Sus scrofa: one gene and its partner. Each later gene encodes a partner of the first gene's protein in a complex. Links are inferred from orthologs where the notes say so. Each region holds a gene or a part of one and is shown in the gene's direction. Other genes may lie near its edges.

Evidence for each region. The genes of interacting proteins can lie anywhere in the genome.
Region 2: TRAPPC11 (region 1) and TRAPPC12 share a complex: the UniProt entries of both Homo sapiens proteins name them as parts of the multisubunit TRAPP (transport protein particle) complex. The link is inferred for Sus scrofa from reciprocal best matches to the Homo sapiens genes TRAPPC11 and TRAPPC12.

The regions. Positions count from the first base shown.
Region 1 is NC_010457.5:45,025,001-45,028,654, forward strand, and holds part of TRAPPC11 (trafficking protein particle complex subunit 11), read left to right. Parts: intron 1-880; coding exon 881-946; intron 947-1,054; coding exon 1,055-1,211; intron 1,212-2,578; coding exon 2,579-2,690; intron 2,691-3,654. UniProt on the Homo sapiens protein: Involved in endoplasmic reticulum to Golgi apparatus trafficking at a very early stage.
Region 2 is NC_010445.4:131,351,394-131,355,047, reverse strand, and holds part of TRAPPC12 (trafficking protein particle complex subunit 12), read left to right. Parts: coding exon 1-873; intron 874-3,654. UniProt on the Homo sapiens protein: Component of the TRAPP complex, which is involved in endoplasmic reticulum to Golgi apparatus trafficking at a very early stage.

The DNA.
Region 1 (3,654 bases):
TGAAGCATTTAATAATAGTGAAAATGATGTAGGAATTTCACTGAGTGCTTTGTGTACATTATCTCATTTAATTGTAACATCCCTGTGAGGTTTATGAAACTGAGACTGAAAGCAACCATATAACCTTCTCAAGGTTTGTATCCAGCCAGGATTAAAACCCAGACCTATCTGGTCTCAGCATGAATTTTTAACTAACATGATCTTTTTAAAAGGTTTCTCACCAACAGGATGTGTTGCTTTTTGTTTAAAGATAGAAGCAGCACACTATTTTTTCAACAGACTCTTGCAGAGGAGGTGGAGTAGGTTGGTTAAGAGACCAGACTCCAGGGTCAGATTCGGTTCAGTTTCTGCCTTGGTTCCCTACTAGCTCTGTGACCACTTCATCTCCAGTGATTATGATGCTGTGTCAATTATAATATTGCTGTTATTATCATTATCATTGTTTTAGTCGTCTTGAGTTGAAGTGAGGTAAAAGACTTAGACAGAAAGAAGGCCCAGATTCTAGGCTTCACTCCACTAGCTTCATGGCTTAAAACTGTTCACTTATCTTCCTTAACCTCTGGCTCCTCATTTGTAAAATGGTGACAGTGCCTGCCCTGCCCGCTCTTACTAGATCCTGACAAAAATAATGGATGAGAAAGCACTTTGCAATATAAATGGTTTTACAACCATAGATAACTTGTTAGAAATATTAATCTGTCTCTACCTAGATTTTTTTATACTATCTAAAGGAAAGAAAGATTCTAGCTTCTTGATGTATAAATTGGAATTATTTATTGATCAGTAATCAGTTGTATCTTGTATGCCTTCTCTTTTTAAAACTGTATTATTCTTAAGATTAGGAAAAGCTATTGAATGTGCCCTTTACATTGCCTTGCAGGATGAAACTGTAACAATAGAAACTGTCTTTCCATTTGATGTTGCAGTGAAATTTGTTTCTACGAAGGTATGTTCCGTGAAGCTTATTGGAAGTCATCTGGGCTATAGAAAGTAACAGAAAAAAGAAAATGGATTAGTGTACTTCCTGATAGACCTTTGTCTCCATCTGCCACAGTTTGAACACCTGGAACGGGTTTATGCCGATATCCCATTCCTGTTGATGACAGACCTGTTGAGTGCCTCCCCATGGGCCCTCACCATCATCTCTAGTGAGCTGCAGCTTGCTCCTTCCATGACTCCTGTGGACCAGCTGGAATCCCAAGTGGACAAAGGTGTGGATCATCCCACTTGTGTTTTTTTTTTGGTCTTTTTGCCTTTTCTTTGGGCCGCTCCTGCGGCACATGGAGGTTCCCAGGCTAGGGGTCTAATCAGAGCTGTAGCCACCGGCCTACACCAGAGCCACAGCAACTCGGGATCCGAGCTACGTCTGCAACCTACATCACAGCTCACGGCAACGCCGGATCTCTAACCCACAGAGTGAGGCCAGGGATCAAACCCGCAACCTCATGGTTCCTAGTCGGATTCGTTAACCACTGAGCCACGGCAGGAACTCCCACTTGTGTTTTTTGCAGTGGGGGGCGGGGTGCTGGCCGGCCTTGCTTGTTGCTAAGGGAGGGAACTTGAAACTTATACCCACAAAAGCAAATACATGTAGAATTAAGATAGAATTAGCATCACTTACAATTTGCTTGAGTATACCTTGGTAATTTTAAAAGAACAGATTCTTTCAAAAAAAAGTTAACTCTGAAAGATGTACCTGAAACAAAAGTTTTCATATTTGGTGTGTTTTTTGTAGATAAGTCCATTCTCATTAAAATTCTAATTAATTTTTAATTGACATGTACTATTGTTTATAATATGAAATGGGAAAAGATGTTTATCAAAGAAACTATGGAAAATATAGAAAAGTAGATTATCGATCTTTAAGTTATCCAACTAAAACAGTTTATAGAAGAGATATTACCTTTCCAGTCCGGGATACTTTGGGCTTTTGTATATTTCTTAAGCTGTTAGAGGGAATGAAAATTAGTTTGAAGGTTAACCCAAGCAGAATTATTCTCAAATAGATTATAAGGGCAAATATTGGGAAGGGAAAAAAAAGTTGTGTATTGTTATTTTCATTATATTATTTTATTGGAGTATAGTTGCTTTGTGTTAGTTTTAGGTATACCCAGCAAAGTGATTCAGTTATACATATACACGTATCCATTCTTTTTCAGATTCTTTTCCCATATAGGTTATTACAGAATAGTGAGTAGAGTTCCCTATGCTATACAGTAGGTCCTTGTTGATTATCTATTTTATATATAGTAGTGTGTAAATGTTAGTTCCAAACTCCTAATTTATCCCTCCCCACCACGTTTCCCCTCTGGTAACCATAAGTTTGTTTCCAAAATCTGTGAGTCTGTTTCTCATGATGTATTCTTAAAGACCAAATATAAAGAGTTGTTTTGTTTGCTCTGTTTATCTAGCTCCTTGAAAAAGTCATTAACCATCTCTTCGCCTTAGTTTCCAGGTCTCTATAAATAATGTATAATTGATAAGGTACTCTCTTTTTGTTGTTACATTGCTTGGATGTAAAGCTCTCTTTTCATGAATGAAGTCATTGCATGAGGATTATGAAGACTCTTTCTTTTAGTTGTCTTGCAGACTGGAGAGAGCGCAAGTGAGTGCTTTTGTCTTCGGTGCCCCTCTGTTGGAAATGTTGAAGGTGGAGTAGCAACTGGGCATTATGTTATCTCCTGGAAGAGGTAAAATTATATCAGCCCTATCTTTTCTTCATTTTCTGTTATTCTAATGCCTTCATCATGTGTCATTGTCATTTAATAGTTGAGAGCTTCTGACAGCCTGGAGGGCAGACTAGAAGTCACAGGCTGTCACTGACCATTTGTCAAATGCACAGAGATTTAAAAGGATAATTAAACTTTCATTTGTATTTGTTAATTTGTGATTTAGCCAACTTAATTCTGATGATAGGACCACTAAAAGTATTAGGAGAAACTTCCCTTATTTGCGGTCCAATAGGATTATTTACATAGAAAATTCAAGGGAGTCAACAAATTATTAGAATTATAAAGAGTTTCAGCAAGGTTGCTGGATATAACATTAGTACACAAAAATCAGCTGGGTTTCTATATATCATAATAAACCTCTAGGCAAAGTACTTTTAAAATAGGTATTTATGTAAAAATATGTGGGAATGTATCTAATATGTATCTAATAGAAAATATGCATTACCTTTATGGAAAAAAGTTATAAAAATTTAAAACATTAGGGAGTTCCCATCATGGCACAGCAGAAAGGAATCCGACTAGGAACCATGAGGTTGTGGGATCGATCCCTGGCCTCGCTCAATGGGTTAAGGATCTGGTGTTGCCTTGAGCTGTGGTGTAGATCGCAGGCGTGGCTTGGATCTGGCGTTGCTGTGGCTCTGGTGTAGGCTGGCAGCAACAGCTCCAATTAGACCCCTAGCCTGGGAACCTCCATATGCCACGGGTTCAGCCCTAAAAGGACAAAAGACAAAAAAAAAAAAAAATGTTAAACATTAAAGAAAGACCTAAGTAAATGTCAGAGATACCAAAGAGTCTCTGATAGGATTTGGATAAGATTTAATACTGTAAATTATTCTTTAGATTCAGTGCAGTTTCCTTCAAGATCTCAACAGCTTGTTTTGTTTTGTTTTTGTGGAACTTGATATACTCAATTTTGAAGTTT
Region 2 (3,654 bases), on another chromosome or scaffold:
CCCGCGGGGGGCGGCGCAGACCGCGGCCTGGCCTCGGGTGCCGGCGCGCTGAGCGACGACAGTGGGAGCGCCGGAGAGGACGCGCCCGAAGGCGCCTCCCCCGGGCCCCCCGACGGCCGGGCGCCCTCGGGGGAGAAAGACCCCGAGCCAGAAGGGAGAGAGCCACCCGCCTTGGAGCCCGGCGGCGCGGGTGCCGAGGCCTCGGGCCCCGGGGGGGACGAGAGGGCGCCCCCGGGGGACGCGGCGGCCGGCGAGGCCCCCCGGCAGCCCTCCCCCAGGGACGAGCCGGTGCCCGTGTGCACCATCTTCAGCCGGCCGCCCGGCTCCCAGCGCGACGGCTTCCAGTCGCAGATGGTGAAATCGCCGAGCTTCGGCGGCGCCAGCGAGGCGGCAGCACGGGCCCCGGCCCAGGGCGTCCAGCCCAGCCCCAGCCTGAGTAAGTTTTTTGGCGACGCCGCGGGCCCCAGCTCCCTGGCCTCGGACTTCTTCGATTCGTTCACCACGTCCACCTTCATCTCGGTCAGTAACCCCAACGCCGGCTCCCCGGTTTCGCTGGCGGCCACCCCGATGGGCGAGACCGCCCCAGGCCCCGCCGAGCCCGCCCGCCACCCGGAGCCCGCCGTCGCCACAGGCGCCCCGGAGATCCCTCCATCCCCAAAACCGTTCTCGCAGATCCAGGCCGTGTTTGCCGGCAGCGAGGACCCCTTTGCCACCGCCCTGAGCATGAGCGAGATGGACCGGAGGAGCGACGCCTGGCTCCCCGGGGAGGCCACCCGGAGCGTGCTCGTCTCCGTGGCCACCCAGCAGTACAGCGCCGTCTTCGTGGACAAGGAGGACCTCACCATGCCCGGCCTCAAGTTCGACAACATCCAGGTGAGAGCCGGGTCCCGCTGCTGGCCGGCCGACCGGGCTGGGCTGCTTCTCCGTGAAGCCCTGTTCCTCTCAGCCTCTTAGGATGTTCCAATGTCCTAGCTCTGTGGGTGGAAAACCCGTTTCTCAGCAGCTGCTAAGGTTCTGACGGCGAGGGTCTGTGTTGCATTGTCACTAGGTAGTTTGGAACCTGGCTGGTTTCTCGGACACAGTGTATTTAAGGCACGAATCAGAGTCGGAGAAGTACCTGCCAGCCAGGCAGTCGTGTCACTGTCTTTCTCTCTGGAGTAGTTCTGCACCTCGTGTGGTCAGTGTGTTTGTGACACGGGAGCACCAGTAAATGACAAACCCCCATTCCTTTTTTTTAGATATGGAAAAATACGTTTGCATTTTATATAATATACTTGATGTAGAAAGAGTCTCATAGATTCAATTAAACAAAGAGAATGGGCCCTCAAGATAATAAATCATAAAAGCATGCAAATGTTACATATAGTAAATAGCAGTATTAAAAAGCTCAATCGCACCAGTAATCAAAGATGTAAAGCGATTTTCGCCTCCACCGTCGAGGTATTTGTGTGTGTTCCAGTGCGGGACGGTGGCCTGCCCAGGCAGCCCTGAGGGGCTGGAATTTGGCACAGACTCTGTTAAGTTGTAGGACGCACGTCCAGTGTGCATCTCCTTCCACCCGGAAGCCCACCCTTCGGCGTTCTTTGGAAGGAGATGGTCTCACTGCCTGCAGACCCCCGGCTTTGGGGACACCCCTCCGAGGGAGGGGTGTCATTGCAAAGGAGCTGAACCGTCTGAAAGGCCAGTGGCAGGAGGCCGCCTGAGTTCCTGTGACACGTGTCATCTTATTGGTGGAGTGTCCGCGTAGGCATTGGACGTGGCGCGGTAGCGAACTGTGTGACGAGGTTCCGGTGTTACGGTCGCCAGGCAGGCCTACACTGGTGAACCCCGAGGGAGGCCAGCTCACTGCCCGGCAGCTGTGACTCCTGGCACCCAGGCTGCAGGTGGGATCGGCGTTTCTGTGCGCCAGCCTCGGCCCGGCATCCTGAGAGCGTCCTTCCTCTGGGGACTGAAGGAGGCCCCCCCGGGGACGGACACCCTCCCACCCCGCCACCTCGCTGGGTCGGAAAGCAGCACAGAGAGTTCTCTAGAGAAGGGGAGTGGCTGCCGCGCAGTCAGCGGGTTTTCTAGGTAACCGAGGGGTGAGCCGCAGGTTCCCGGTATTTTGCACGTGGGGCTCCAGCGTATTTGCTGACTCAACCCGTCCCCTCGTGGCTTGTCCTCCCCCCTCCCGGCAGAAGGCCCTGGCCCCGAGGGAATCCCGCCTGTGGGCTCTGACGGCAGGGCCATCTGCTGTTTAGGATCCCGTGTGTGCCTCGTCTCGCTGGGTCCCTGCCCCGCTGCATCCCCTGCCCCCGGGGGGCCTTGGTGTTCCGTCTCCTCCCTCTCTCCCCTCGTGGGGTCTTGGCGCCCTGCCGCAGAGTTCCTTTAACGGCAGCAGGTCTGGCCTTCAGCTGTCTTGCCCAGCCCGTGCTGTCTGCCATCTGCATCCCCGTCTGAGTGTAGCCCAGGAAGAGGGAAGGTTGCCGCAGCGACCACCTAACCCAGCACTCCCCACGGTGTGCTGGGCCCAGGCCCGGCCGCCCCCCCCCCCCGGCTGCCCCCCCCCCCCCCCCCCCCCCCCCGGCTGCTGGCTCTGGCAAAGCTCATCGGTCCTTCTTGAGAAGCCGCGCTGGCGTCCTGCTCGTTTACCCCGGATTGAATCAGGTCTGGAGGCCCTTTCTACCAGTGAGAAGCTGGGGTTCTGCAGTGGCGCCTCTGTAGCTGTAAAGCTTGCAGGCGGCCGGCTGCACAGTAAGCGGGGCGTTTGGCGAGCCCGCCGGGGTCAGGGAGCGCCCGCCACCGGGGCAGGACACATCCTAGCAGCCAACCTGGAGGCAGCGGCCTCCCTCTGCTTCCTTTCAATCCCAAGGCAGCCATCCTCACCTCTCCCACTTGGCAGCGGTGGCTTTGGAAACCTCCGTAAATTGAAATACGAATTAAGAACAGTTCCCCAAAGGCCTTTGCCTTTGCCACGTAACAGATGTGCTGGAGGCTTCTTGGCCTGTGTCTCCACAGTGCTGTGTCGCCCTTCAAAGAACTGTTCGTTCCCAGGATAGAAGGGCTGTGTGGTTTACCTTGGAAATGCTGTGTGTATTCGCCAGAGGACCTAAGATGGCTTTTGAGACGTCAGTCAGTCGGCGGTTGAACGTACCTATGAACAAGTTTCTCCTTGTGCCGCTGCGACCGTCGCAACGTTATTCTGAGCTGGCTTTTCTAAAACGCTTGCGTTGACGCTTCTCCAAATTGCTCACCCTCTGGCGTCTAATTAAAAATTCCTTCTTGTGGGATAGAAGTGGGGGGGTTAAATTGTTGCTTTATGAAGTGACTTTTTGAGCAGTTTGAGTTCTCAAAGAAGGAAAAATGAAAAGCGAGGGCGTAACTCTCCGTCCAGCCACAGCAGCGCCATTCGAACTTTAGACGGCCGGTGTTCTTAGAGACGTAAATGTGAAGTTTGTGGGGAAATGATGGGAAAATTCAGAACCGATAAAGAATGGAAGTTGTGTACTATTTGGATGATGCTTGGTCAGTAGAAAGGGGGAGGGGGGTAAACAGACAGGAAGCAGCAGCGTCTCGGCGGCGGCGGCGGCAAGGGAGTAAGATTGGGAAGGAGGCACGAGACCAGGCTATGGTCCCAGATACCTGCGTCCAGACCTGCGGCCGAGCCCTTCCACC